Pelodiscus sinensis: one gene and its partners. The main gene of each other region encodes a partner of the protein of the gene in region 3 in a complex. Links are inferred from orthologs where the notes say so. Each region holds a gene or a part of one and is shown on either strand. Other genes may lie near its edges. The genes, in order: GTF2H5, GTF2E1, GTF2E2 and POLR2B.

Region 1 (7,460 bases), on a different chromosome or scaffold from region 3:
ACCAACTCAGCCAACACAAAAACATGCGTTTCATCTAGGTCTTGTATGATGAATTTCTTTCCCAGGGCATTTGACTCATCCAGGTATAGTAGGAACTGCTTCATGGCTGGGTCACTGTAGACAAACATGCACCAGAATCCATATTATTGGCAGCGACAAAATACAGCAACACAGTATTAAGTAAAACAATTTTGGAATGATGGAACTTAAAAACTTCTTCCCGTATAACCTCAATCTCAAGATTTGTTTGTTGCCTACATCCATCTTTTTACAAGAATAACTTTTAGGAAAGCCTTTAAGCAAAAGTGACCCTGTTGGGACATTTTACAAATTAAACTGTGACTAGCTAGAAGGGCCCAAGAGGAAGAAAATTGGTAGCCTAACTTGCAGAGAATAATGATTACATTGGTATTATGAAACAAAGAACAGGACTATGTAGCACTTTAAAGACTAACATTATTGTATGTTTTTAGTAAAACATGTATAATGTGAGTTTATGGACAGTTACAGTTTAATATCATTGGTTTACATATTCTAGTTCTTGTCTGATTTTAGCTATATAAACAAAGCCAAGGTCCTTTGTTTTCAGTTTTGATTTTATTAAAAATATCATTGGAATTTTGGTGTTTATTACAAAAATTAAAAAGCTCAAACCAGCTGAGAGGGAAGATGCCGGGGCTTCTCCCCTCTCAACTGTTCCACGGTGTATAAACACAGGCTCTCCCTCGGCCCCACAGAGTGCCCTGGCCAGCACTGGGGCCGCCGCCAGCCGGCCCTTCAGCAGAAAGCCCGCCTGACCAGTCCGCCCCTGCCCCAGTCAGCACGCAACCAGTCCCTCTCCTTCCCTCCAGCACCTCACCCAACCCTCCCTCCCCCTAGCACGTGGATGCTGCTGCTGGTTCCGGTAGGGTTACCAAGTAGACACCCCTCCCCAAAAACCGGACACCTGATCGTGGGTTGGCGGGAAGCAAAGCTGGGGGACCACGAGGCTGGTGGGGGGGCGGGAAGCAGAGCTGGTGGGGGGGGGGGTGCAGCGGCACTGGTCGGGGGAGATCAGGAAAAGGAACGGGCTGGCAGGAAGCAGAGCTGGAGGGCGGTGCAGGGGGGCTGGCTGGGGAAAATCAGGAGGGGAAATGAGGGAGAACCAGCCCGCCGGGAAGGCAGGAGGTGGGGGGCTGAGAGCACAGGGTTTGGTGTGGGGCATTAGGGTTGGAGTATAAGGTTGCTGGGCTGGAGTCAGGGCAGAGATATGGGGGACTCTTGGTAAAGGGTAGGGGTTAAGATGTGTGGGCATGGAAGGTTTGTGAGGGCAGCTCAGGGCAGAAGGTGATAGAGTGAAGGCAGGAGGGGTGGACTCAGGGCACAGAGTCAGATGGGGGGGGCTCAGGGTAGGGAGGTGAGGGAGCAGGAGTCAGGGCAGGAGGCAAAGGGTGCAGAACTCAGGAGGAAGCTGGAAGAGATTATGAGGCTTAAAAGGATGACAATGCTGTGCTGACAACTCCTCCCGAGGGGACAGAGCTTCACTTTCCTGGGACTCCCCGTGCCCTCCCCCCTCCTTTCAGGATGGTGTTGTTGGGGTGCAACAGTCCCTGCTGCTCAGGCAGCTCGCACGCCAGCTGTTTTGGGGCTATCTAGATTATAAATTGCAAACAGTTGCATACTGGTCTAAGCAGAATTTGCCTAAGACTTCTGTTCAGTGCAAGAGGCACAGGAGAGACACTGAAGGAAGCAAAGCTTCTACATGTTCTGTGAAGTGGCTAGGATGTTTGAGGAACTATACAATTAAGAAAAGCTGAATTTCAACTGAAGACAGAAGTACTAACCATTCTATAAGAACACCCTTCAAGACATTAACCATCTTCTCCAACACACTTAGAAAGCCCAAATGTGGCAGAAAATAGATCTTGCTTTGAATTATGCTTGTAGGCAGAGAGAAACTGAAAAGAGAAAAAAATAACTGATTTTTTGTTGACCAAAGTGGCCATTCAAATTTGGCATGTATACTTTTAAATCACTGTAAGATTAGTGAAAATTACATGAACATATAAACAAAAGCTTACATCATAAATCCTAGCCTACATGATAATCTTACTTTTATAGAAGAGTGTGTCACATTTAACAGATGAGGGGAGACTGTTTCATGCATTACAGTAATGAAATAGTGATAGAAATGTAGCCGTGTTAGTCTGGGGTAGCTGAAGCAAAATGCAGGACAATGTAGCACTTTAAAGACTAACAAGATGGTTTATTATCATCTAATAAACCATCTTGTTAGTCTTTAAAGTGCTACATTGTCCTGCATTTTGCTTCAGTAATGAAATAAACATACTAATTAGTAATACAATCTTCTATCTTGTGAAGAACTACAGAAATTATGCAAATAAGTTATACAAAGAAATAGACAAGTGAGTCTCACGATAAGCAGGGCTTCTAGTTTTTAAGGGTGTGTGAGACTCACTTCATGTAGGGGTTTATTTTAGCAGTTTGAGTTGTATATAGACCCCCGCAAAGCGGTTTCTTTTAGCTTTTCAAGCACATAGTGTAACACGTAGCGCACGTTTCACACACATCTAAACTATACAGTCTCACTCATTACAGTGTCTATATCGCAACGGGCAATCACTGCAGCGTAATGCAGCACCCGACACCCAGCACCGGAGAGCACCAGGGAACCCCTCGTGCGCACCAACAGACCCCCCCCCCGCCCGCACACACACTGCTGCTCCCCGCAGACTAGCCCCCGGCTGCGGGTCTATCGGGGCAGGCACAGGGCGGCTGCGCGGGGGGGGGGGGGAGCAGGTGAAGCCGATGGGGCTGCGCCAAGGCCGGGGGGGGGGCGGCAGCGCGTGAGGCCCGATACCCTCCCTTCGCGCGCCCCCACCTACCCGCGGCCGCCCCCTCACGACGCAGCGAGCGGCTCCCAGCCCAGCAACCGCGCGAGCCCCCAGGCGAGAACCGAAGCGAGAGTGCGCACGCGCGGGCGCCGCGGCTCCCTTCCGGCCTCGCGCTAAACGGCGATTGGCTCAGGCCCGTCTTGCGTGGTGACGACACACGGGGGCGTAGTTGACAGCTGTCGGGAGACGGGAGAGAGAGGCAGCGGCCTGGGAGCGGGGCAGGTAATGGGGGGGGGGTATTGGCCCATCCACGTGTGGGGAGCGACGCTCTGGGAGCCCCTGTGCTGGGGTAGCGGCGGGGGGGGGGGGGCACGGGAGCTTCATAGGGTGCGGGCTCTGGGCTGCTTGAAGGGAAGCTGGGCTGCAGGTGGGGCAGGGTAAGTGTCCAATGCGGGGAGCAGCAGCGTGTGTGTGTGTGGGGAGGGGGGGGGGCAGCAGCTTATAACGAGTCTGACCCAAAATGAATTTGAAGAGCAACTAGAGAAGAGTAAAACTAACAAACAGCAAACTAAAACACGCTGCAGCAGCAGTGGGAAACCTGCCCAGCGGAGCCCTTTGGCTGGGTGATCAAGGTGTCATAGAAGCACTCAAGGAAGACAAGGCTGTTGTGGAGATGTTAAATGAAGTTTTTGCAGGGGGCTCCTGCGGGGTCTTATCAGTTACAGGCTGGGGCCCAAGTTCAGGCAAACTGGTTAGAACAAAAAAGTAATTATTCAACACACAGAAGCACATGGTATGTAGAGAGTAAACATGGCTGTTGGAAAAGGGTATCATACTTTACCAATGACTTAGCATTCTTTGAGAGTATCAGATGGCAGGATGATCCAATGGATATAGCATACTTGGACTTTTATTAAAACCTTGACAAGGTATCTTACCAAAGTCTCTTAAGCAAAGTAAGCAGTCATGGGATATGAGGTAGATTCTCTTTTGAAAACAGTAACTAGTTAAAAGATAGGAACTGTTTTTTCTTCACACAGCACATGGTTGGCCTGTGGAACTGCTTGTCAGAGGAAGTTGTGAAGACCAGGACTTTAACATGGTTCAAGAAAGAACTAGATAAACTCATGGAGGTTAGGTCCATCAATGGCTATTACCCAGGATGGGTAGGAATCATGTCCCTAGCCTCTGTCAGAGGCTGGTAATGGGTAATAGGAGAGGGATTGCTTGATGATTCTCTGTTCTGTTCACTCCCTGTTGGGCATCTGTCATTGACCTCTGTTGGAAGGCAGGATACTGGGCTAGATGGACCTTTGGTCTGACCCAGTTCTTATAGCCATTCTTATGTTCTAGCCAAGGGATAAGAAGAAAGAGAGCAATAGCCCTTCCCACACCAAATATCTCTACTATGACTGCTCATATTCAGCAATGATCTGGAAAAGGAAGTGAAAGATGATGTGGCAAAATTTGCAGATTAAAAAAAATTACAAAAGATAATTTAGTCCAAAGATGACTGTGAAGGGTCTCAAAGGCATCAAAGAGTCTCAAAGACATTTCATAAAACTGGGTGACTGTGCAACAAAAATGGCAGATGAAATTAAATGTTAATAAATACAATATTATTCACATTGGAAAACATAATCCAAACTACCTGTATATATAAAAAATATTAAGGTCTAAATTAGCTTTCACTTTTCAAGAAAAAGATCTTGTAGTCATCATGGATAGCTTTCTGAAAACATCTGCCCAATGTGTAGATAGAGTAAAAAAAAAAAAACTAACAATGTTATAAACCATTAGGGAAAGGTTAGTTAAAAAAACACAAAATATAACAGTATCCCTTTATAAATCCATGGTGCACCCATCCCTTGAACATTATGTGCAGTTCTGTTTGCCCCAACTCAAAGATATATTCAATTTGCAAAAAATACAGAGGAGAGTAAAAAATGATTAAGACAATGGAACAGATTCTGAGGAGAGAGACAAAAAAACCTGAGACTGTTCAGTTTAGAAAAAACACAGCCAAGGGGAGATATAAAATTATGAACGAGGTGGAGAAACTTGATAAGAAAGTTTTATTTATGCCTTTGGGTAACACAACTAGGGGTCACCTGATGATTTAATAAGCAGCAAGTTTAAAACCAGCATAAGAAAGTGTTTCTTCAAACTATGCACAGTCAACCTGTGGAATTCCTTTCTAAGGATCTTGTGAAAACCAAAAATATAAGTGGGTTAAAAAAGAATTCGATAAATTCATGGATAACAGATATATCAGTGGCTGTTATCAAGAAGGATGCAGTTCCATTCACAGGGTATCCCTAAATCTCTGACTGCCAGAAGCTGGAATTGGAGGACAGGAAATGGATCACTGTTTGTTTGTTAATTCCCTCTGAAGCACCTGGTACTGGCTGCTGTCGGGATGGAGGAAAGGGAGATAGATGGGCAATCTGTCTGACCCTGTATAATCATTCTTATGTTGGGGGGGTCTACGCTCAGGAAGCTACGGGGGGGGGGGGGAGGATTCTGGGTTTGGGGGAATACAAAGGGAGACATGGCTTGTGCCCTTGTTTTGGCCCTTGGTGATAGGTAAAATGGTTCTAGAAAGAAATCCGGGTTGTTCTACACTCAACCTTTTAACAAAGGCATGTTCAGTTGCTGTCAGCCGACAGTCAGGGCAGTATGTGTGTGTGTGTTTTCGAGAAAAGGTTTAATGTCCGTGTCTTTACTGCTAGGACCGGGGTCCCGTCGCAGAGGGTAGCCAGCAGGCCAACAGATGCCCCTTTATAGAAAGAGCTTATTACACCTTAGATTTTAGCTGCTAGAATGCAAGATTCCTTCGCAGCGGGCAGCCTTAGGAAAAGACTGAGAGGTGCCCCAACGGACCTGTCACCTGGGAGTGACACAAATCCAAACGCCCAAGCTCTTCCTATACCTGTTCCTTATGACTGGCTGAAGTTCTTTTAAATTGTGCTTGGTTTTGTTACAGCAACTGAAGGAGTCAGGTTAAAAACTTAAACAGTTACAGGTTTATTAAAAAGACTTATAAAACCATATGGTTACAATGGCTATTGCTCTCTTTCTTAACTGTTAGCAAATACAGATTTTAAAAATAGTTACAAAGAAAATAAAGATAGAAAATAGAAATAATGGTACTAAGTGACAGCTTAATCTTTAAAGAGCTCTAAATCTATGTGTACATTTACGACAAAGGACCACATCCAGGTACAATTTTTACCCCCTTCTGTGCCTCTCCACTTAAGCATGTCAGGCCAGGGCCGGTCTCTCAATTCCTAGGAAAGACGAATACGAGGTGGGCGTTCCTGTAGAACCTTGGGAGATCAAACACCTAACCCGACCAGCAGATAGATGGTAGATTGACACTCAGAGTAAATGTGCTGCTGGACCCATCTTTATATCCCTGGGGGCCCATATCCTCTTTCTTATCTAAGAGGCCAAATTGTACTGGTCCGTATTGTGGCGCCAGTTCTTACAAGCAAGTTTCAAGTTAATTTACACTTGCAAGAGAGATAACTAAATTGTGAGTACTAGACATTTTTTTTACTGGGCGAGAGATTCCTTCCCCCCCCCCCCCCCCCCCCGCGGACGGCTGTGTGTTCGTATCAATATGGGTTAAGTCAAGGGCACTCCTTGGCAGCCTCTTGGTCAGCAATTGGCGTATCTTTGTTTACAGCCATTCACGGTCACACAGCCTGGGCCTTCTGCTCTGTGTGCCCTGTATGCTCCAGACAAGCAAAAATGGATGTTACAGGGAGGGTTCCTGTCTGGCTACAGTTGCTTTGAGTAGAGACTCTTTTTCTGAAATGTTGACTAGATGTTTGGCATTAAATAGTACTTAATAAAGGCAACACAAGTATCCAGTCCTAAGCATCCTGACTAAAAATCACTTTCTCTCTCAGTTGCTCAGCTTTCACTCTGTTGCCTCTTGTCTGCTGTTCCACTAATTTTTTTTGGGGGGGGAGGGAGGAAGGGGGGGCTGTTGTAGCGTCTCCAAGGTTAGATAAGGCCTGATCTTATAATATGAAGGAGGAATGGGGATGAAGCAAAAATAAAAATAATCTTTTGGATTTCATTAACATGTTTTAAATAAGTAAAAAGCACATAAGATCAATTTTTCCCTTTGCATGGCATTTTAATGTGTCTGGTTGTTCCTCTTCGTGACATCAGGATGCTTATAGCTATAAAATTGTCTGGGACTAAAACTTCTTGCTTCCTGCATCATTCTAGTGATTCTGGAATTCTCTTGTTAGGACCTTACATAATTTTGCAAAAGTGAGTGTTGTCAAATCATACTACCATGTTTGTCCTAAATTCCAGTAGTTAATAGCCCTAAACCCTGTGGTGAAAACAGGCAGAATGCTAACTAAACTTTTGGGTTGGAGACAGATCTGTTCTAGAGTAATCACTTGTTTTTCTGCTTGTAGAAGAGATCTGTGAAGCTCAAAAGCTTCTATCCTTCACAAACAGAAGTTCATTCAATTAAAGATATTACCTCACCTACCTTGTCTTTCTTGTTCTTGTCACTGAAGACAAAAGAATGACAAAGGATAGGGGAATAGCGGTGTTTTCCGTCACTGTTACAGATTAACTCTGTAACTGTTTACTGGA
Region 2 (7,503 bases), on a different chromosome or scaffold from region 3:
TGAAGTTAATAAGATGGTGGGTCTATTTTAGTAATATGTTTCTCATACATCTCAGAATCCTTTCTAAAGACTCATATGATTTCATTATACAGGCCAAAAGGCTCAGTATATTCTCCTTGCACAACTTCTGATAAGGAGATAACTCATTTTCTTTATATCTTGGATGCAACTGTACCTAGAACGTTTTATTTGGCATTGGGCACCACATTCTCAGAAAGAAATTGACAAACTGATGGATATGACAGTTCAGAGGAAATCAACAAGAGTAATCAAGAGGCTAAAGGAATTGACTTATTTATTGTATGAGGAATGATCTGGCTCTTAATATTTAGTGCAGCTAAAGAACAAAGGGGGGGGCATATGACAGTTTATGAACATTGATGATAAACACAAAGAAGGAAGAGAAAACGATGGTGGCTGAAAAGGCACATTATTAGTCTTAATTCCATACCATTACTCATATGAGGGAGAATCTACAAAACATAAGGGCTATGTCTAGAATGGCATGATTTTCCGCAAATGCTTTTAACGGAAAAGTTTTTCCGTCAAAAGCATTTGTGGAAAAGAGCGTCTAGAATGGCATGGACGGTTTTCCGCAAAAGCACTTTTTGCGGGAAAGCGTCCGTGCCAATCTAGACGCAGTTTTGCGCAAGAAAGCCCCAACTGCCATTTTTGCGATCGGGGCTTTTTTGTGCAAAACAATACTGCATTATCTACACTAGCCCTCTTGCGCAAAAGCATTTGCACAAGAGGGCTTTTGCCTGAATGGAAGCAGCACAGTATTTCCGCAAGAACACTGACAATCTTACATGAGATAGTCAGTGTTCTTGCGGAAATTCAAGCGGCCAGTGTAGACAGCTGGCAAGTTTTTCCGCAAAAGCAGAGAACTAGTTAGTTGAAGTGGGATAGGAATAAGTATCCCAAGAAAGGTGGGAGGGTAAGTCCTGTCATTTGGTATCCGAGGTAGGCATTTTTTCAGCAGCTGCAAACTCATGTCTCATCTGCACTCTGGCTATGTCTACACTGGTGGGTTCTTGCACCAGAAATATGCAAATGAGGCTAAGCTTGGAATATCGCCAAGCCTCATCTATATAGCTAATGAGCCGCCATTTTTGCAGAAGAGGCTCTTGCACCAGAAGGAGCATGTACACTGCCCCTTCTTGCTCAAGAAAAACCCTCTTGTGCAATGCTGTTATTCCTGAAAATAATCAGCGTAGAGGCATTACACAAGAGGGTTTTTCTTGCGCAAGGGGCCGTGTAGCCTCATTTGCATATTTCTGGCACAAGAACCCGCCAGCGTAGACATAGCCTATGAGTGTTGCCAGAAGAGGCACTGCAAATGAAGTGCAGATTTGCATTTTCTTGCACTGCATTTGCATACGCTCTTCTGATCAGTTTTTGCACAAAAACCAGCAGTGTGGAGATTTCCTTTTTGTGCAAGAACCCCTTTTTGCGCAAGATTGGTTACACCTTTTTTGAGGCATTAGGATTTTTTGAGGCAAAAAGGGGGTTTTGCGCAAAATGGAAGCAGCTATGCTGCTTCTTTTTGCACAAAAACAACAGACAGAAAATATGCTAACGACAACCTGAGTCATATTAATGAACCCCTCATTAGTATATTTTCTGCAGCAAAAGCTTACAGTGTAGACAGCCTCTATCACTCACCACCTCTTGGTCTCATATGAGACCACCTATTTACTCACCACCTCAGTCTCTTATGGCATTCCTTCCACCTATTGGCTACGTCTACACTGGCATGATTTTCCAAAAATGCTTTTAACGGAAAAGTTTTCCGTTGAAAGCATTTTCGGAAAAGCACGTCTAGATTGGCAGGACGCTTTTCCGCAAAAGCCATTTTCGCGATCGGGGCTTCTTTGCGGAAAACAGTCCTGTGCTGTCTACACCGGCCCTTTTGCGCAAAAAGTCTTTCGGAAAAAGACTTTTGCCCGAACGGGAGCAGCATAGTATTTCCGGAAAAGCACTGACGATCTTACATGAGATCGTCAGCGCTTTTCCAGAAATTCAAGCAGCCAGAGTAGACAGCTGGCAAGTTTTTCCAGAAAAGCGGCTGATTTTCCGGAAACACTTGCCAGTCTCTTAGACACAGCCATTGTGTGTGTTGTTTCTGATGGTTCCCCCTCCCACTGTATTAGCTGTGCTTTTCCTAAACTTAATCTCCAAATCTATTATAGCAGCCTGCCTAAATCCCCCTTCTATAATTCCTCTAACCTAACCATGTATTTCCTTGCACCCCATTACTTTTCCCAAAATCTCCTTTTGAATATTCTTTATTCTTAAGGCAAAACGCCTGAGTTCTGGACCTGGAACTACCCAGCAAGCTGGCTAGCAGAACAAGGTGTAAGCAGCGACTAGGAAAGCAGAAAGATGAGGGAAGAAAGCGATCCGTCTCTCACGCTGAATAGTCAGGAGCTGGCGGGGGGGGGGTGGGGGAGCCTGATGCCAGGCAGAGGTCCCCCGCCAGCAGACGCTTCTCAGGACCAGCCTCTGGACCTGAGAAGGAGCATCAATGGGGCCCAAAGGGAGGCGCTCGGGGTTGCGAGGACGCTGGCCCGAAGCGCGCTGCCCCGAGGGGCGCACGGCCGGCTTCGCACAACGCACGTGGCGCGTCTCGCGGGGCTGCCCCGGCGCCGTTTAACTCCCCCCGCGCGCCTCGGTCCGGCTGCAACAGCCAGAGAACGTGGCTTACTTCGGGCGGGGGGGCGGGGGGGGAGCGAACCGCCGCTGCCTGGCCCTGGAAACGGGGGGTAAGATTTCACTGCGAGTCGCCCCGGCTGCAGCGCACGGAAAGCGGCGGCGGCGGCAGCACCAGCAACCGCCCCCCGCGCCAGAGCACGGGACTGACCTGCCTGCCGGCCGCTCCGGACTGGCTCCGTCTCCGGGCGGCGCTTTCGGCAACTGCGTCACGGCGCGTCATACGCAGCGCTCGTCGCACACCAGCCCGGCAGCAGCGCACCTTTGTGACGCACACACGAGGCACCCCCACCCTCGCCACGGCGCGAGCCTGTTGGGTCCAACCCAGTTGGGGATAGGAGGCGGCGACGCTCCCCAATCTCCGGCTGCGATGAGCATTGACAGGAAGGCGCACCAATTGTTCTCTGAAGAGCTCACTAGGCCCCGCCTCGATCCACATTTGCCAATCAAAAGCGAAGACGGCAACATAGAGGCTTGCGGAAGTGAGGGGACAGCCAATGGGATGAGTGAGTGGTCCGAGGGGGCGGTGCCGGGAGACTGTTGCTAGGCAGGGTAAGATGGCTGCGTTAGACAGGGTCAAGGTGCTGGTGCTGGGGGACTCAGGTGAGTGAGGGGTTTCCCGCTTCACCCCACCTCCGCACAGGGGCAGTCCCGCCTGGTGCCTTGCAACGGGAGCGAGTGTCCCAGCAAATCCCCGCCCCTTCTCCCCCTCCGCCCCCCGACGTCGCTAACGACATCCGGCTCGAGCTTGCGCAGTGGTGCAAGTCAAAGCTGCTGTCTTGGAACGCGGGCCCTGCCACGTGCCCCGGCTCTGACGCGGCTCCCTCCTCCACCCCCCCCACCCCCCCCGTAGGCTGTGGCCCAGCTCTGGCGCGTGGCTCCTCTGAACGTTCCGCCCTTGGGCAAAGCCCGGGCCAGCGCTAGGGCTCCGCTCCGGCAGAAACGGGGGCCTAGGCGCGTGTGGAATGGAAAGGGGGCGGGGGGTGACCGTTGGGCAGGACGGTGCAGACCCCACTGGCCTTCCCTTCCCTAGTGGGTGCCCGCCCTCGTGTTTCCTCGCCCGCCTCCAGCCCCCTCGCTCTCGCCTGCCGCTCCTCTTCAGCCTGAGTCTGCTAAGTCCCCGGGGCCGGGTAGCAAATGGGACCTGCTGTGAGAAACACAACTCTAGTGTCAAAACACCCCGCAGCCCTGTGGGGTACGGCACAGCCCATTGGGGTGTCTGGGCCGGTTTGATGGCGCTTACAAAAAAACTCAAAAATGTTGAGTCAGAGAAGGACAGATATTTCCAGGCAAAAGAAACTCTCATAAGCCAGCAAAAATAACGGGACCAACTGGAGGATGGGGAAGTACAGCAGCCACTGTGGAGTACAAACCGAATGGACGATGCTTTGAATTTTATACTTTTCATAGTCATCCAATTTTTGCTTAAACCTGTGTTCATTGTTTGGCTCTGCACTTTGACTGAAAATCCATTCCACCTGTTAGTCTCGGCCTTGTAAAATTCTGTTTTCTCTTATATTCATGTCCACTTGCTCTGGTCTGTCTGGAAACTTCAAGTAGATTGTTAAACTATGGCCTATATTAACATATGAAATATTCTGAATTATGAGCATGGTGTAAATTCTTAGATGTAAGCTTAATTTTAGAACAAGTCCCAGTTTAAATTCTTAAGTACTTCAATTATGTCGCTTTCTCATTGTCCACTCTTCACTTCCAGCGTTAGCACTATCCCTGCCTTTTTAACACCTGCTAATCCATTATCATTTTTGGTGTCTAATTCTGCACTTTCTCCAATTCAGTTATATTTTTCTTCAGATAAGGTGCACTAGATACTGTGATACAAATGTGGCTTACATGTTTTTATATAAACAATAGCTTCAGACTTATGTATTTCTTTTGACAAAAGCCCATATGCTAGTTAGCCTTAATTTTACAAACTACTTCATGTGTAGGCTATGTCTACAGTGGAGCTGGAGGAGTAATTTCTAGTTTGGGTAGCATGTGAGTATTCTGGTGGAGCTCGTGTAAAATAGAAGTGCCACTGAGGCTTTTTGTAGAGGCAGCAGGATGGGCTTCAGACAGGCTTGTATTTGAGGCAACTAGCAGATCCCACAGCCTGTGCACCTGCAGTTATACTGCTGTTTTAGTGCACGAGCTCAAACATCTACCTGAATTGGACATTTCACCTTCCACTCTAATGTAGAGAAACCCATGGTATTCCTCTCACTAGTATTTTCTTTACTGCTGTTGCACACTGGATCATAGTTTTAAATGTTTTGTCTAACAATACAGCTAGAACACTATCCTTTGCTCTGATAATCAGTTCATAGCCATTTAAGTTATACTTAGTACGAATACTATTTCTACTCGAGTACATTGTTTTATATTAAGTTGTACTATATTTAGAATTTGACTGCTGAGCCTTTTTATCTGATTTACCAAGATTATTCCACCTTATTAAATAGATCGAAGATTATGCTATCATCCCTCTTGAGATTTAAACACAATGTTATTTTGGTATTGCTGTCAAATGTAAGGATCATGCATTGCCAACTATGCAGCTTCAGTTAATGTTTGTTTTGCAGGTGTTGGAAAGTCTTCACTTGTTCATCTGTTGTGCCAAAACCAGGTGTTGGGAAACCCGTCTTGGACTGTGGGCTGCTCGGTGGACGTCCGAGTAGGTGAAACTCTAAACTTGTAGTGAATAATGTGTCTGTGCTTCAAAAGCTAAAAGAAATTAACCATCTAATCTCTTGACAGTTTGGGCAGTTGTCTCTAGAGTTAAAGGTTCAGATCTCCCAAGATACTTCCAAGCTATCTAAGTGTGCTATGAGTGAGTCTTTCAAATGATGACTTAAATACTTACACTGAAGTCTATTTTGTATTGACATTAAAAGATCTCATGGTCAGTTTTTTAATGGAAGGGGTTTACCTGTCATCTTTAGTTTCCTCTTTCCTCATTACCAACGGAAGGGCCAGGGCTGCGCTACACAGCTCTGATAGTGCTCTGGACAGTGGCCTCGGCAGCAGTGCCAGCGGGGCTCCTGCCAGTCTAGCATTGGCGACAAGGGCTTGGAGTACGGGTTTGTGGAAGGGGGGGGTGGCTGCTTACCTGGGCTGATGGCTGGCAAGATGACAAACCCAATACCCAGCTGGCCACTGGTTTCCTGGTGTAGCTGTCCTCAGTGCTTGCTGCCCCCCAGTGGTCACAGTGCAGTATTGCATTCCTCCACTCAGCCCCCCCCCCCTTTCCATATAATGGAAAACAATTGAATTCTAGGCACATCTAAATTTCCTGGAACAATCAGACCCTGACCTTGGTTTAAGTTATGATGAGAGGAACCTGCCTACCAAATTTGGTCCTAGCTGTTACCATTTAGGAGGAGTTCTTGAACAAACGGACTTGTAGACACACGCAAATCTCTGAACTATATATAGAGATTTTTATTATTCATTGAGTAGTGAATTTAGTATCAGTGGGTGAATAAATTCAATTCTTCAGAATTTCCTGGGTATCAGTTGCCACATATAGCTTAATTTCACGTTTATGGAGTCAGCCAAACATAGAAAAGGATTTAATTTAATTTGTTTATATCATAAGAATGTTTTGCTCATATCATTAATGAGCAGATCGTTGGTGAAATGTTGCCTCTTTCTTATCACCTGCTGAGAGCAGAAGCTAATGGCTTGGGAAATCGAGAAATGTATGAGGAACCATCCACATGGCATAATGAGAAACATACAATGGCCATGGGAGGGTATATTTCATTGTTTCCAGTGTCATGCCTTGCCTGAGGCTAGTGATGATACTATCTTAATGTCTGAAAAACATTTTTCGTTCCAAAAGATACTAAAACACATTTTCCAACTTTTTTTTTTAAAAGAAATTTGGCATTTGTTTTTAAAGTGCACAGCAAAACTTTGGACATTAGAAGGAGAAGTGATGATTACTGAATTCAGTTGAAACTTCAGGGAGATTTTAAAGAGGCTGAAGATAATAATTAAATCTGGATTTTTGCCAGGACGCCAATGCTAATCTTAATCTTGCAACTATTACCATATGTCCTTTAATGATCACAGGAGATCAGAACCTCATCTTTTCATATGCTGAAACAGCAGTGCGCTCTTCAGCACTGCAGTGAGACTTTAGATCAGAGGTGGGCAAGAACTGGACCACAAAGCCTTTGGAAGCCTCACTGCAGACTCAGACAGGCTCCCTGCCTGCTGCAGCCACAGGCCTCTCAAAGTGGCTGGTTGCTCCATGTGTCTCTCTGCACTGGGGGTAGGGATGTTAAGGACTAGTGGACTATCCGATAAGCATTTGCTTATCGGATAGCCTTTTGACTAGTTGATATTCCCCCCACCCCCTTGCTGCCTCTATGAGAGAGAGGCAGCAAAGGGTGGGGGAGTCCTTCAAAGTGGCAGCGCCGCACAGCTTTGAAACCCTAAGGTGGCTGCTGCACAGCTGATACGTGGATCAGCTGTGTGGCGGGCTGTCCCTTTGAATCACACAGAGGTGGCATTTTAAAGGGGCAGCACTCGAGGCCAGGGTCAGCCCTGGTCAGGGACATATCCTCACAACCCGGCTGACCCCAGATTCCAGGGAAGTGCCCTGCGGAACCTGAGGTCAGCTGGGGATTCTTCAGCTGACCCCGGGCTCCTAGTGGCATGCAGCGTAGCATGGAGCCTGGGTCAGCATGGGACTGAGTCCCCCACTGACTCTGGGCTGCATGGCTTTGAAATGCACAAGAGCCCCTTCTGGGGACTCTTGTGCATTTCAAAGCAGGCATG
Region 3 (7,524 bases):
CCTTCTGGAGGGAAGGAGCCAACCCTGCTGCTGTTTCTTCCATCTCTGCCACCCAACCGTCTCTGCAGCTACAGCCAATCAAGGGACCAGGGAGCTGAGGCTGCTCCTGGCAGAAGGGAATCAGAAGAGGCAGCTCTACCTGGCCTTGGGAGGTGTCCTGTTCTGTGTCCAGGACCGTGTTCAGAGCAGCTCTCAGGAAGTGCATGTCCAGGTCTGGCTCTAGGGTGGGTTTCATGGTGCTGGCAAGGGAGAGGAGCTGATATTAGACTGTGCAGTGCAGGGGTCAGACTGTATCTGACCTCGGGAGGGAGCCTCTCCCCAAGGTCTCTTTGGGTATGTCTAAACTACATCCCTTTTTTGATAAAGGGATGTAAATTAGACATATTGAAATTGTAAATGAAGCCGGAATTTGAATTTCCTGTGCTTCATTTGCATAATGGCGGCCACAACTTTTTTTTTTGAAGCCACTTTTTGAAAAAAAAAAACGTGGCTAAGACAGGGATCTTTCGACAGAAATGCCTCGTTTCGAAAGATTCTGTAACCCTCAAAAAATGAGGTTAAATAAAATGTGACAAGAAAAAAAAGACAGTATACAAAGTTTGTGGTTAACAATAGGTAGATTTACACAGTAGATAGTAATGAGGTCACTTGCTTTTCAATTGTATGTATCATGTTAGTTCTGTTTAACAAATGTAATTGATTGATTATAATTGATCTTGGCTTTCACAACATCCTCTGCCAAGGAGTTCCACAGGTTGACTGAGTGTTCTGTGAAGAAGTACTTCCTTTTATTCGTTTTATTTTTAGAAACTTATTTTAGTGGCATGAGAATGAGGACTGACACTGAAAAAAGAGTCAGAAAAAGAAGTGCTCGGAAAGCTGAAATGAGTGTATTTCACTTTATAGTATTAAATAGTAAGCAGCATATTTTTAAAAACATAATCACGTTTTATCAGAGTGCAACCTCACTACAGTATCCTACTTTTGTTTTAAATAAAAGTATTTAAGTTTGTAGTTTAGCAATGTGACAATAAATGGAATTCTAAAGGAAACTAAATGTATTTCTAACTCAAATTGGTGATAGACATATAAAAGAGGGTGAAAACTGTTGTAGGAAGGAACAACAGTGATGCTATCTGACCTCTTTTCTTTGTAGATCAGTAAAACAGTTTTAAAATATGCCATACTGGTCCCAGCATTATGGATAAGGAATATCATCTTGGAAAAGTATTACACGGTGTAATAAAAGTTATTTTGGGAGTGAAGATTCTTTAGAAACCATGCTCTACTAGCTATGCCAAAACTTTTTTTGTATGGGGCTATCTCAGGTGATTGGATCTCTGCTGTATACAACTGCTCCAAACTGAAACTTGATGTACAAGATCTTATCTTCCCCTATTGAATGCAAGGACAGTCAGATTTCTTTTTAAACAAAACTTCCTTTCATACATTAATAACATTTTAGCTTCTTAAAACAGGGAATTTTAAAATATTGAAAAGATTTTACAGTATTTGTATTGTTTACTTTTTGCACTTCACTTAGATTGGTCAATTTTTGTTTATAGTCAGGTTCACTTAAACATAAGAATGGCCATGCTGGGTCAGAACAAAGGTCCATCTAGCCCAGAATTCTATCTTCCGATAGTGGCCAATGCCAGGTGCCCTAACGGGAATGAAAAGAACAGTTAATCATCAATTGATCCAATCCTAGGAATGCGTCTACACAACAACGCTGTTTCGGAATAATGGACGTTATTCCGAAATAACTTTGCGAGCGTCTACACAATTCTGTTATTTTGCAATATCAAAATGACGGGCGGCTTATTCTGGATTCTGTAAACCTCATTCCACAAGGAGTAATGCCTCTTTTGAAATAATTTTTTTTGGAATAGCAGTAGTGTGAACACTCCACTGCTGCTATTTCAAAATAGCTCCTCCCCCAGGCCCATTCAAAGTAATTACTCCCTAGTGCTTCCTGGGGCTCTACATTGAGGTAGTACATCCAGATTAGGGGAGCCTGCCCGAGACTAATTTTGAGGCTTCCCTGTAGTGTACATGCACAATCTCGAAATAAGCTATTTCAGAGTATTTCTTCCAAAATAGCTTATTCCAAAATAAGTGTGCCGTGTTGATGTAGCCTGTTTGCCCAGTCTCAGTTCCTAACAGAGGCTAGAGACACCATTCCTACCCATCTTGGCTAATAGCCATTGGTGGACCTATCTTCCATGAATTCATCTAGCTCTTTTTTGAACCCTGTTACAGATCTTGTACTTCACAACATCCTCTGCCAAGGAGTTCCACAGGATGATTGTGTGTTTTGTGAAGTACTTCCTTATGTTTGTTTTAACTTGCTACCTATTAAGAACTTTCTTCTTCCCCTGCATAAGCACAATATTTCAGCCTTTAGCTTTCACACATTACCAGAGGATGTTTAAATAAAAACAGGGAGTTAGTATTTTGGTTCTGAGTAAATGTAGACCATTTTCTTAAAGTATTACCGGTAAGACTTTTTGTAATAGAGGCTCCAGTAGTGAGTGATTCCATAAGTCAGGTTGAGTTGCACTTAGCATTTAAAGCAACTTCTCGTTATGCATAAAAAGTACAACATATTCTCCCCAAACTCACTACACTTAATATCTGAGTTTTTAGTGAATTTTCTAAGAATGTGCAAGTAAATTTTCTAATTAGAGTTAAAATTGTGCATTAAAATATTCCACATTTTACCAGTCTTCACTGTGACTTAAATTATGTTAATCATGGAATATAATATAGATTCTTCAAATTTTCCATATAGTTACAATTATAAAATATAGGAACATGAACTTTTGAATGAATCGATCAATTGTTATTAGTGGCCAGATTCACCAGTACAGTTCAGCTGCTTTTGGATGCTCAGCTGAATTGATTAATCTGTTCTTAAAACTAAAATATATGGGTTGACCCACTCTAGTCTGGCACTGTCTGGTCTGACAACATCCACAATCTGGCCTGATTTTTGTTATATGGATGGGTTATATGGATGGGCATAACCAAGTTTCCCACTGTCCCATAAAGTTTGTTTACAGTCACCAGCCTTGGCTGTCAGTGTTCTGTGCTGTTTAGTTCTAATTTATCCCTAAATGTCTTCTAAAACCCCAATAAACAGTGGGGCTACGTCTACACTGGCACCCTTTTCCAGAAATGCTTAAAACGGAACAGTTTTCCGTTATAAGTATTACCGGAAAAAGTGCGTCTACATTGGCAGGATGCTTTTCCAGAAAAGCACTTTTTCCGGAAAAGCGTCCGTGGCCAATGTAGACGCACTTTTCCGGAAAAAAGCCCCGATCGTCATTTTCGCAATCGAGGCTTTTTGCGGAAAAGACTACTGTGCTGTCTACACTGGCCCTTTTCTGGAACAGTTTTTCCAGAAAAGGACTTTTGCCCGAATGGGAGCAGCATAGTTTTTCCGGAAAAGCACTGACAATTTTACAGTAGATCGTCATTGCTTTTCCGGAAAAGCAAACGGCCAGTGCAGACAGCTTTCAAGTTATTCTGGAAAAGCGGCTGCTTTTCTGGAATAAGTGGCCCAGTGTAGACACAGCCTGGAAGTGTTGGTCATGCTGCTAGACAATACTGACCTTCTATCAGATCCTAAGGGTGCTGGACTAGAGCCACTCAACCCGTATTAAGATTACCTTTACTTATCCTCAAATCATTGGAAATATTGTTAGTGCTTTCAATGGGCTGCTTGTTTCGTACTTATATAGGAACATTTAAAACAAAACAAAAATCCAGACCATACCCTTTCTCTTCTCTCTCCCCCTCCTCCCCCCAAACAAATACTTTCTACATGTTTTCAAGTATCAGAGGGGTAGCCGTGTTAGTCTGAATCTGCAAAAGCGGAGAGGAGTCCTGTGGCACCTTATAGACTAACTGAAGTGTTGGAGCATAAGCTTTCGTGCATCTGAGGAAGTGGGTCTTTGCCCACGAAAGCTTATGCTCCTACACTTCTGTTAGTCTATAAGGTGCCTCAGGACTCCTCGCCGCTTTCTACATGTTCTGTAAGTTTACAAAGTGCTACCAGACTATTGGTTGTTTTTTCAGTTTACCTTCTATTGTGATTGTTTTGGTCTGGGGGTTTAAATAAAAGCTCAAATGCTTGGCTCGAGCAAAGCTGCCCTTACAATGGGTCACCAGGAGGGGCGTGCAATTCAGGGCATCACAGCAACAGCTAAGACAAATTTAGGAGCTATGATGAGACTTCAGGTACAAATGGATAAGAGACTTTTAAATCCTCCCGGGGGTTACAGGCTGGCTCCCTCCCGCGCTGCATGGCCTGGGGGAGACGCTTAGGGCATTGCGGCTCCTGTGCTGCTGGTACGAGTCCCCCCTCCGCCCCCAGCCCGGCTTTGCACAATCCACACGGGGCTCCCTTGCAGCCCCTGCTCTGCCGCTCGCTACAGTTAATTGACGCGCCGCGAGCCACGTGCGGGCCGAGGGAGGGCAGCGGCTCTCACGGCGCCTGCGCAGTTCCAGTGCGCACCGCGCAGGCTCCCTGCGCCCCACGTATGGCGTTCTGAGCTGACGCTGTACCCGGCCGCTGGGCCAATAGGAGCGCAGCAGCCGCCGAAGCCAGCGTCGTCCCCCCCTCCTCCTGCTCCCCCGTGCCCCCCGCCCGCCTTCCCGCGTCGGGCGGCCTCGCGCGCCGGTGAGTTCTCGGGCGCGAGCGGGGCGGTTGGAGCGGGGCAGCCTGGGAGCGCGAGGGCGCCCCCCTCCCACCCCGAGCTGCGTAGGCGGATGGGTCCCGTGTCTGCCCCTCCCCCCCCGAGCTGCGTGAGCCGGGGGGGGGTCCCGAGTCTGCCCCCCTCGAGCTGCGTGAGCCGGGGGGGGGTCCCGTGTCTGCCCCTCCCCCACGAGCTGCGTGAGCCGGGGGGGGGGGGGTCCCGTGTCTGCCCCTCCCCCACGAGCTGCGTGAGCCGGGGGGGGGGGTCCCGTGTCTGCCCCTCCCCCACGAGCTGCGTGAGCCGGGGGGGGTCCCGTGTCTGCCCCTCCCCCCCGAGCTGTGTGAGCCGGGGGGGGGTCCCGAGTCTGCCCCTCCCCCACGAGCTGCGTGAGCCGGGGGGGGGTCCCGTGTCTGCCCCTCCCCCACGAGCTGCGTGAGCCGGGGGGGGGGGGGTCCCGTGTCTGCCCCTCCCCCACGAGCTGCGTGAGCCGGGGGGGGTCCCGTGTCTGCCCCTCCCCCCCGAGCTGTGTGAGCCGGGGGGGGTCCCGAGTCTGCCCCCCTCGAGCTGCGTGAGCCGGGGGGGGTCCCGAGTCTGCCCCCCTCGAGCTGCGTGAGCCGGGGGGGGGTCCCGTGTCTGCCCCCCTCGAGCTGCGTGAGCCGGGGGGGGGGTCCCGTGTCTGCCCCCCTCGAGCTGCGTGAGCCGGGGGGGGGGTCCCGTGTCTGCCCCCCTCGAGCTGCGTGGGCCAGGTGTCCTGCTTTCTAACCCCCCCATTGCATTGGTTGGGGGGTTCCCTCCCCCACCAGCGCTGCACTCCATGGCTCGGGAGAGTCTCTCTCTTGCCACCGAGCAGCAGGGGGGTCCCTGCCTTCTCACCTGCCCCTACACAGCTGCGGGGGCCACAGGGGGTCCCTCCTTTCCCCCTCTTGCACAGAGGCGACTAGGCCCGCCAAGAGCTTCCTTGCACCACCCCCGCTGCCCCCAGCTGCATATTCCCAAGGAGAGCCCTTCCTTCCCCTCCTCCCCCAAGGGTTGCAGGGCCCAAGGAGAGCCCTTCCTTCCCCTCCTCCCCCAAGAGTTGCAGGGGCCCAAGGGGATCCCCCTTTCGCCACTCACTCACAGTCAGAATTAGTTACATTGAGTCAAGCTGTTGTGCAGAACTGGCCCCAGGGATGCTGTAGTCCTGTCTCGACAGCTCTAATAGAAAACAACAGCAGGGCTCATGGGTTTGCTACTTATTGCCAAGTGTCACTCAAACCAGAGGAGCTAGAATAATTTTTATAATGTGGGTGCTGAGAACCATTGACTTTAACTGTAAGTCCTGTGTAGATATAATGGAAACCACTTCCGTACCCTCTACTTCCAACATCTGATTCGATCATCATGTTCCTATCCGAGTCTCTCACCAAGTCCATGGCTTCTTCCTGTAGTGGTGGCTTGCTCAAGTGTTGTGACAGTAGACAAGTGATTAAACTGATGGTGTCCTGTGTAATTATCCATGAGCACTAGCAAGGGGGAAGCACAGAGTGTAGGGAGTCCCCTATCTATCCTTGGTAACCTATAGCATAAGGTAACGAGGTGCTATTCCATACCATTGACATCTTGAGTCCTATAGGGGTCTTGGTTATTTAGACTGGGACTTGGGCGTCTAGTAACATTTTCCAGTTGTATGGGACCATGGGAAACATGGCCACACTCATGATGAGTGGACATCGAGCTAACTAAAATCATACCAGACCAGAGAGTACTAGAATAGGTTCAAGCTGTACACATTTCAGGAAGGCCAGGGAACCTTCCTCTCCCCACCCTCCAATCCAGTCACGCACACACCTAGGTGTGCAGAGGAAGGGAGGTGGGTGTGCATCTCTCCCTCCAAAGTCTATGCATCCGCAGTTTATAGATAGCAAGTTGCTAATATAGTTGTAAAATATCCTTTGTCTTTTGTAAAGGTCCTAGAATGGGGCAGTGGCACATGAACTATACTTGTCTTTGTTGTAAGATATTTTCTACTGTTTGTTTATTCATATTCCCATAATGCTTAGCAGCCCTAATCATTGAGCAGAAGCCTATTGTGCTAGATGCTGTACAAATAGAAGAAAAAACAGTCGGTACCCCCAAAGAGCTTCCTTTCCAACCTTACTAACAATTTAAATAATCAAGCAGAAACCTGGATGTAATTCAGTTTTCGTTGTCCATTTGTACTTTTAGTTATTTTCCCAAAGAAAAGTTGATTTTCCGTTTACACTAGATGTGGTGCTGCTTATTGCTAACTAGGGGTATATGGTGTAGCTATTTACATTTAAGCACTTATATAGCTTGATTTACATTTAGTTCACATTTTTAGTTTTTACATTTTGATTGTTAGAAAATCATGAATGATACATTTATTGTTTTACAAGATGATTATTTTTTTATTATTTGTGCCAAGCTCTATTGGCAAGGAAATTCACATTTAAATTAAAGTGCATTAAGTGGAAATAGCATTTTAAATTGTCCGAAGTGCTGAATTCATAAAAAATTAAATTTTCTCAACATGTTTTGTATTTAAAAGTAACTAATATATTAAAGGAAGTTGTCTGTAGTTTATGCATTGACTTGTGATCAGTTCTGGTCACCATGTCCTTGTAGAACCAGTACATCCCATCCTCTCACACTTTGCTTTCCTTTTTCAGTCTATAAATAAAAACTAGCTTTTATTCAGCTTCAATTCCCATTTGATTTATTAACATTGAATAGACTAGTAATTGAACTGAACTAGTTGAATAAATTGACATAAAGATAGATTTTTTTTTTTGCGCCTGTATCAAAGACTATTACTGTCAAA
Region 4 (7,974 bases), about 4.4 Mb from region 3:
GTAATGTGCCAAATGAGAACAATGGGAGCTGAGCCCTTTTGAATATCTGACCCCACTTATGAGTGCTGAACATTTTTGTGTTTCTCACCCTGGATAAAGTGTGTTACAGACAAACTATTTTTGCCATTGCTTTATTTAGTGATCCATTCATTCCCTTGCTGGTAGCATATGCATTCCTTTTTAGCTATATCACGCACTAATTGGATCTGCTGCGGCAGCCTTCAGTTGTTCAACTGTGATGAGAGTCCCCAGCACAATTTTCACATCAGTACAATTAAAAGAATGAAACTCATACCGGCTCTTCAACTTCCCCTGTAGCATGCTGAGCTTCAGCTTGTAAATCAATAGGTGGTGCATCTTCTACAATTCTCTGCACAGACATCTGAATGAACTCATCAAAAGAATCCAGCTGTTGTCGGACCAAGCCCTTCTCATCAAAATAGGAGCTTAGAAAAAAATCAGGAACATTAATTAACAAAAATTCTCAGTTAACATAGTTTATGAATATGTAATCAAGAGGTTTTAAAATTCAAGATAAACATACTATAATTAATCAAAACACATTATTGCTCTATGTAATTGTTCTTGTTTTTGTCTCACAGCACACTGTTGAAATACAATTGTTCCAAAGAAACTTTCAAAAACAGCCAAATATTTATGTCCCGATCTCTCAACTTTGTTCCCTGATGACCCACATACAAGACATTGTGTGTTCGGGACTTTTACTTGCCAATTCACTATTTTGCATTTCTTAGCAGTAATCTCATAGTGTAGCTCTACACTCACAAGCAGTAACAGAAAATATTGTGTTAGTGCTGAATTTACAAGAAAAACCTTTCAGATTGTCTAGGAGGGCTCTGACTTTTCAAAACCATTCATCTTTGGCTAATTATACATAGGACCAGTGGTCTAAAATCTCATACTCTCTCTTTGTAACAGTTCTTTCATTCTTAAAGAGAAAACATTTATGATTTTGGATATGAAATCTTGGAACTTTCATCACATTAAATATTAGATCCTTTTTTAAGCTAAGGGTGCACTTTCCTGTTTACTTCACTACTATCAAACTTTCTAAAAATATTAATGTTACCTAATAACTATCCAGCATGCTTCTTGCCATAGATCTGGAGTGATTTCATCATCATCTTCATCATATTGCATATCTGCCAAGAAAGTAGGACACTCAGGTCAGTCTTTCTATTCATTCAAGATTTTTTGGCTGAATATAGCTTCTAACTACCCAACAGCTGTACATAAATACCTTGCTTTTCTACAATCTAATGAGCTTAATAAAACCTGTAAGAGGACTAACAATAGGCTCTGTTCATAGCTTTCCTGTAATAGTTAGACTGTAAGATCTTTAGGGCAGGGACCATGTTTTTTTCTGTATTTGCTCAGCTCTTAGCACCATGGAATGTTGGTCAATGTTTCCTGTAAGGCTTAAGTGTAAGCTGTGCACTTGTGCAGTTGGTTTTAGAAATTCAAATGTGGCCCAGATGCTTAGGAGAGGATCCACAGCTAGGTGCACTTTGGCACATGCCTCAGGGCACATAAAAAGTTTATTCCACATATGGATGGAAAAATCAGCACATGCATGGAAAAGATTAGGGGGAACATTTGTGTTCATTGATATCTGGGGCTTCAGAGGTAGCAGTGTGGGGTAGCAGGGGGCTCCATAGGAATGGGGCCAGGAGTAGGGGGGAGCACACTGGCTGCTGGCCCTGCCCCCAGGGACTATGGAATAGTCATGTAGTGGCTGAAATTAGAACAGTCACATGCCTGTCCAATTACCCGTGCAGTCCCCTTGGGAAGAAGGAAGGAACGGTGGCTCTTCCAGGCATGGACGAAGAGAGCTAGTAAGCTCCATTTTGGAGGGAGGAGCCAGGCTGTGCTGGTGTAGAGCCTTTTCCAGACCAGGAGCTGTTGTGTTGTAGCTACAGCCTGTTACTGAGAGCATGCTGGGGCCTGGATCTAACAGGCTGCTTTTAGGGTTGCTGGGGATTGTCCCTGGAGGGGAGAGATCCTGGCTGGGGCTAGGGATGTTAAGGACTAGTCGACTAGCCAATAAGCATTTGCTTACCAGATAATCAGTAGACTAGTCGATTTCCACTCCCCCTTGCTGTCTTTATGAGAGGCAGCAAAAGGAAGGAGGATGGGGTAGTTCAAAGCGGCAGCGCTGCACAGTTGAGCCGGGGATCAGCTGTGTGCTGCTGATGCTTTGAAACGCCAAAGCTCCCCGCAGCATTTCAGTGGAGCCCGGGGTCAGCTGGGAACTCCCCAACTGACCCTGGGTTCTGGGGAAATGCCATGAAGAGCCCAGGATCAGCTGGGGAATCTGGGTTCTAGGGCTGCCCCTTTGAAACGCCACCGCCGCGTGTTTCAAAGAGGCAGCCTTGGAGCCCGGGGTCAGCGGGGACTCCCCGGCTAACCCCTGTTGTACATCTCAAAGGAGGAATGCAGAAGTGCCTATTGACTAGCGATGGACATTCCACCCACTACCTGACTCGTCCATTGCCCCCATTCTAACACCCCTGGCTGTGGCTGCGAAGGGCCTGTAAACCCGCACAGGAGGTGCCTGGGGCAGAGCACTAAAGCGCGCGGGCTGGGGTCCGAGGCGTTGGGCGGGGCCTGCTCCGGGGGCAGAGGGACTGACACGCACAGGCCCTGCCGGGGCACGTGATGCAAGTGCCGGGCGGGTCCATCCCTTTCGGCGCCAGGCTGCGCAGGGCTCCCCGCGGGGGGCACACGCCGCGGGCACGGGCCGGGGCCTGCGCGCGCACCCGCCTGGCTGAGCGCGCGGGGCTCCCGGGGAGACGGAGCAGGGCCCGGACCCCCGCGCTCACCTTCGTCCGCGTCGTACATCTTGGCGGTGCGGGGGGGGGCCTCAGCGGCTGCCACGGACTCGGACCCGCCGCCGCGATGGAGGGACTCGGGGAGCGCCAACACGCACGCGCAGGAGACCCGGCGCGGACTGCGGCTGCGTGCGGCTCCCGGCTGGCGTCTCCGCACTATGCTCCGCCGGAAACAGCCACCGCGCGACTAGTTCCTAGCGGGGCGTGCGGCCAACGCGCGTGCGCCGCCCCTCCCGGAGCGCGTGGGTGGCGCGGGCCAATCGGACGCAGTGGGGAGGGGAGGAGCCTAGCGCACCCACTGCCCGGCAGGGGGCGCTCTTCTCGCTGTCCCCGCGCGTGGCCGGAAGCGGAAGCGGAAGCGGAGCCGCCGCGCGCCCCCCATGCTCCGGCTGAGCCGCGCGCTGCTGGGGGCCCTGGCCCGGCCTCGGGCCCCCCCGCGCCCCCCCGCCGCGCTGTGTCCGGGGCGCCGGGCCCTGGCCGCCCTGCGGGAGCCGCGCGGCGAGGAGGAGCCGTTCGTCTTCCCCGAGTACGTGCCCGAGCCGGGCCCCGCGCCGCCCGCCCCCCCGCGCCCGGACCGCGGCCCGCGGCCCAAGCGCCAGCACCGGGCGCCGGGGCGGCCGGACCCCTCGGTGCCCCCCAGCGGGGTGAGCTGCTCGGGCTGCGGGGCGGAGCTGCAGTGCCGGGACCCCGCCGCGCCCGGCTTCCTGCCCAGCGACAAGTACCGCGGCCTCCTGAGCCCCGGCAGGCGGGGGGGCCCGGGGGAGCTGGGGCCGCGGGGGGGCCCGGGGCGCTCGGCGGAGCTGGGGCCGCGGGGGGGCTTGGAAAGTTTAGGGGGGCCAAGGAGCCTGGAGGAATCGGATACACAAGATGCCCCAAGCTGGTCGAAGGATTTGGGGCCCCTGGTGGGCTTGGAAGGTTTGGGGACCCAGGAGGCTTTGGGGGGCTCGGTGGAATTGGGGGCACAGGGAACCCCAGGGGGCTCAGACGGACTGGGGGCCCTGGGGGACTCGGAGGTACACCGGGCCCTGCAGGGGGTGGTGTGTCAACGTTGCTGGCTCCTGGTCCATCACCAGCAGGCACAGCACATGCAGGTGACCCGGGAGCAATACCGCAGCCTGGTTAGCGCGGCTCTGCGCAGCCCCCCCCGGCATGGTCGGTCCCCCCTGGTGTTGTATATGGTTGATATGCTGGACCTACCGGACTCCGTGCTGCCAGACCTCCCTGAGCTGGTGAGTGCAGGGTCAAACATCCTGGTGGTGGGCAACAAGGTGGACCTGTTGCCTGGGGACTCTCCAGACTATCTGAAGCGCTTCCGAAAGTTGTTGCTGAAGAGCTGTGCCCGCCTGGGCATCCTCCCTGCAGCCAAGGGCATTGGGGACCAGGCTGACAGGACTGGGCGCCACAACTTGGTGGATGTGCACCTCATCAGTGCCAAGACAGGCTATGGCGTGGAGGAGCTGATCTCCAAGCTGCAGCGCTCCTGGAAGTGCAATGGCGATGTGTATCTCATAGGCACTACCAACTCTGGCAAATCCACACTGTTCAATACTCTGCTGCAGTCTGACTACTGCAAGTCCAAAGCCCCAGAGGTGATCAACCGAGCAACAATCTCGCCCTGGCCAGGTGAGAGGGGCATGGATGGGGACTTCTGTCATTATCCGTTTAAGCTTTTTGGGGGTAAGAATTTAAAAAAACTCAAGTTCTTTTTGGGGTAAGAACTGGCTTTTATATAGGGGCCTGTTCTTGACTGCAGACTCTTGGGTGTTATCTACTATATATTTGAGAGACTTTCAGATATATTTGAGTTAAGCACCTGAGTAACGTGGGGCAAATCTTGTAGTGATGTATATAATAACATTCCCCCAAAAAAAGTTGGCAAAAGAACTTTTAAGGTTGCAAAATCAAGCACTCAGTAGCTAACAAATGCAAGCGGTAAGCTTGCCCTGTGCTACCTTAAGTTGGTCTCGTGCATAGGCATTATGATAAAGGCTTTAGCTATGTGAAATGGCAAAAACCTTTGTTAGCACAGAGATAAGGTTGTCTGGTGGTAGCTCATGCCTTTCCAGAACTTCAAATTCAGCACGATTCAAACCTTCTGAAAACTCGTAACTTGACTCAGCCTAGTGAAGCTGGCCTTAGCCAATGGGAATCATCTGCATGCAGTCTAAGGGTTAGATGTAGCTGTATTTAATAGAAAGGAATAATTTGGGGCAGCTTAGAAGAGCTGTGATTGTGAGATAAGATTGGGGGTTAGTTTGAGAAGTGGGTAGTAAATCTGCCATTTGAACACTTATATTTGATTTCCAACATTGGTATGTTATGGTGATGCTCAGAGCTGTGTATTTCACGGAGGAGAATTATCTGTCAGGCTTCAAGCAGTAGCACATCTCCTAGTTGTAGTCCAGTCCCAGTGCAGAACTTTTACATTTTCAGAGGTTTGCTTGACAAATTGAAGAACCAAACATTAGCTCCTCTCTGCTTTCAGCATGGGTGTCTCATTCTCGCTGCTGCCCGTTCTACCAATATCAAAAATTCAGGCAGCATCAGTATTGGAAAAGGCTAAGCAGTCAGACAGCAGGACAGAACTAAACTGCAAAGTGACCTGCAGAGAGCAGAGTACTGGTGTGATGTATTTTAATATCAGATGTTAATCCTCTTCCCGGTCCTTCAGTCTAATGGGGCTCTTTTTGGCACTGGCCAGGACTGACTATAGCAAGTCCCATGTCAGGATTATGTCCGTTTCTCAAAACATAACCCATAAATTCCAGGTCCTATTATTTGGCCAAACGCGCTTCAAAATCTCTGGGGAAAATATTTACCAGTCTCGTTCAATAGTGAAGAATATTAATTGAAACAGGGCTCTCTAGTTTTTAGTGGCATTATTCAGTGAGTCTGGCACTTGTGTGGAAAGTGACCTAGCAATGGTGTTAGTAGCATCCTGTTGAGATAGTAGGTGCCCCAAAGTAACAGTTCTTGACACTCATACTGACACTCCATTCCCCCATAATCTTGACCTTGGTTAGCTAAAACGTTATAGATTATAACAAGATTGCATCTGTGTATATCTCCCCACCTAATTGTAGTTTCCACTTCATGCACCGGATGAAGAGGACTGCAGCACATAAAAGCTCTTATGCCCAAATAAATGTGTGTCCCCTGTGGCACCTTAAAGACTCTTCATTGTTTTTGCTGAAACAGACTAACATGGCAACCTGTCTGAAAATTATAAATGATACAATTTCATTCACTGTACTAAGATTGTAAAATGCATTAGTGTTAGCTAACACATTTTTAAAAAATATCTTCCTTCCTAGTCTCAAAAAGGCCATGGTGTCTTCCGGGGGGAAAAAGCTACAAACAAGATATTAATTTATAAAGTTAAAAAAAATCAAATCTAAATGACCACAGTCCTATTTTCTCTGCGCATCACTTTTAAAGGCAAATTGAAAGAAACACCAGGTTTTGCTCTTATAAAAGTTCTGTTTACTTGCAATAGTTTTTAAAGATAGTTTTCATGTCTGGCTTTTATCGTTTATTTTTCAGTAAATTAATTGCCATAAATAAGAATCATGATAATGGCAAAATGGATTAGGTCTTAATTGTGAAGAATTTTGCTAGTTTTCATGCAGTTGTACCACAAGTAATGTTTCTTTGCAAAAGGATGTGTGTATAGGTGCAACCCATTCGTATCATGCTCAGCACATTGGCTTCCTAGAAGCTAACACAACTGCTAACAACTGTTGTCCAACATCATAGTGTTGTCCTAGCCACTGTGGACAGTAATTTCTGAGAAGAGTCTTTAACTTAGCAGTTGTCTTTAGTTTTGTTATTGTGTAATTGTTTTTCTGTTTCATAAAGAAGAATGAGGCCATCATAAAGCCAGTGAAATTTGTTCTGTATGTGGCTTTTTTCACTGTTTGCACCTTAACATTTAATTGCTTTTATATACTATATTTAATTTGCGCAATCATAGACCTGGATAACGTTGGCATTTATTTTTCAGGCACAACCTTAAATCTCCTGAAATTTCCAATTATTAATCCTACACCTGACAGGCTGTTCAGAAGACAGGAAAGATTAAAAGCAGATGCAGAAAAAACTGAAGAACAACTTAGTGGTGATGAACAAAAATATCTTAAATGCCTTAAAAAGCAAGGTTATTTAATAGGTGAGTGTTATCTGAGAGAGAATATTTAAATCTTAAGAGCAAATGGTGATACTGCATTAAAGATTCAATTAAACTTTATTGTATGGTATGTTAGTATCTAAAGTGCACTCTTGATTAGTAAAAATTGCTAGCCAGCATGCATTTGTGATACAATTCAGATTTGGGTTATTAGTGTATGCGATAGTGTAACAATATATCAGAATAAGAATTCATTAAAGATAAGAACTGCCATACTAGATCAGACCAAAGGTCTGTCTAGCCAAGCATCTTGTCTTCCGACAGTGGCTGATGCCAGGTGCCCCAGAGGGAATGAACTAGGGATGCAGAATCCCGTTTAATTGAGTAACCGCTAACCGATTAAAGGCAGGCAAGCAAGCAGCTAGAACAGTGTTTCTTAAACTTTTTAAGACCGAAGAACCCCCCCCCCCCCCCAAAAAAAATCGAGGGGGGAGTTATTGGGGGGGGGAAGGATCGGGGAAAGTTATTGAGCCTAAAAAAAGTCACCTGCCCCTTTAAGGGTGGCCATTTTGAATTCTGTTTTTCTCCACGGCACACCTCCGACTACCTTGCAGCACACTGGTGTGCCACGGAACAGTTTAAGAAACACTGAGCTAGAGCTTTGTGTAGTTTGTAAGCTTTGCAGGCAATACTTTCTTGCACAGACTGTAATTGCTGCAAACCAAGGACCTTATCCTACATTTATTCAAGCAATTCCATCCGAATCAGTACTCCCACAAATAGAATTAACCACATGCATAAGTGTTTGAAAGGTGAAGGTTGGTGTTTTCGGTGATGACTATAACAATGGGAACACAATTGGGGTCCTTTGGGTTACTGTAATACACTAAGGCTACGTCCACACTACAAGGTTTTTGAGCAAAAACCCGGGGAGCATCCACACCTCAAATGAGCACTTGCACAATTAAATTAAATAGGCAGTTAAACGGCAGAACA

Evidence for each region.
Region 1: GTF2E2 (region 3) and GTF2H5 share a complex: the UniProt entries of both Homo sapiens proteins name them as parts of the TBP-based Pol II pre-initiation complex. The link is inferred for Pelodiscus sinensis from reciprocal best matches to the Homo sapiens genes GTF2E2 and GTF2H5.
Region 2: the proteins of GTF2E2 (region 3) and GTF2E1 are in contact, whole or in part, in a crystal structure (PDB 5GPY), measured with the Homo sapiens proteins. The link is inferred for Pelodiscus sinensis from reciprocal best matches to the Homo sapiens genes GTF2E2 and GTF2E1. Residues at the interface, in NP_002086.1 of Homo sapiens: Asp159, Gln160, Arg161, Gly162, Leu163, Gly164, Gly165, Leu167, Leu190, Val192, Asn193, Arg194, Pro195, Ile200, Phe202, Cys208, Gln209, Phe210, Ser211, Val212, Asp213, Glu215, Phe216, Gln217, Leu219, Trp220, Arg221, Val223, Thr224, Val225; in NP_005504.2 of Homo sapiens: Arg16, Lys19, Tyr20, Val21, Arg23, Gly24, Phe25, Tyr26, Ile28, Glu29, Leu32, Arg39, Leu51, Leu52, Lys53, Phe54, Asp55, Gln58, Gly68, Asp69, Lys70, Phe71, Lys73, Thr98, Asn101, Val102, Val103, Lys104, Tyr105, Lys106.
Region 4: GTF2E2 (region 3) and POLR2B share a complex: the UniProt entries of both Homo sapiens proteins name them as parts of the TBP-based Pol II pre-initiation complex. The link is inferred for Pelodiscus sinensis from reciprocal best matches to the Homo sapiens genes GTF2E2 and POLR2B.

Annotation. Positions count from the first base shown.
Region 1 is NC_134713.1:112,364,418-112,371,877, reverse strand, and holds the start of GTF2H5 (general transcription factor IIH subunit 5), read right to left. Parts: upstream 3,018-7,460; 5' UTR 2,886-3,017; intron 1,938-2,885; 5' UTR 1,859-1,937; coding exon 1,824-1,858; intron 115-1,823; coding exon 1-114. UniProt on the Homo sapiens protein: Component of the general transcription and DNA repair factor IIH (TFIIH) core complex, which is involved in general and transcription-coupled nucleotide excision repair (NER) of damaged DNA and, when complexed to CAK, in RNA transcription by RNA polymerase II.
Region 2 is NC_134711.1:142,369,056-142,376,558, forward strand, and holds the start of GTF2E1 (general transcription factor IIE subunit 1), read right to left. Parts: upstream 3,003-7,503; 5' UTR 2,864-3,002; intron 1-2,863. Other genes in the region: RABL3 (rab-like protein 3), read left to right, coding at 3,083-3,218, 5,298-5,389.
Region 3 is NC_134715.1:5,047,589-5,055,112, forward strand, and holds the start of GTF2E2 (transcription initiation factor IIE subunit beta), read left to right. Parts: upstream 1-4,521; 5' UTR 4,522-4,687; intron 4,688-7,524. UniProt on the Homo sapiens protein: Recruits TFIIH to the initiation complex and stimulates the RNA polymerase II C-terminal domain kinase and DNA-dependent ATPase activities of TFIIH. Both TFIIH and TFIIE are required for promoter clearance by RNA polymerase.
Region 4 is NC_134715.1:614,131-622,104, reverse strand, and holds the start of POLR2B (DNA-directed RNA polymerase II subunit RPB2), read right to left. Parts: upstream 3,006-7,974; 5' UTR 2,863-3,005; coding exon 2,844-2,862; intron 1,164-2,843; coding exon 1,091-1,163; intron 447-1,090; coding exon 296-446; intron 1-295. Other genes in the region: NOA1 (nitric oxide-associated protein 1), read left to right, coding at 3,233-4,475, 6,856-7,020. UniProt on the Homo sapiens protein: Catalytic core component of RNA polymerase II (Pol II), a DNA-dependent RNA polymerase which synthesizes mRNA precursors and many functional non-coding RNAs using the four ribonucleoside triphosphates as substrates.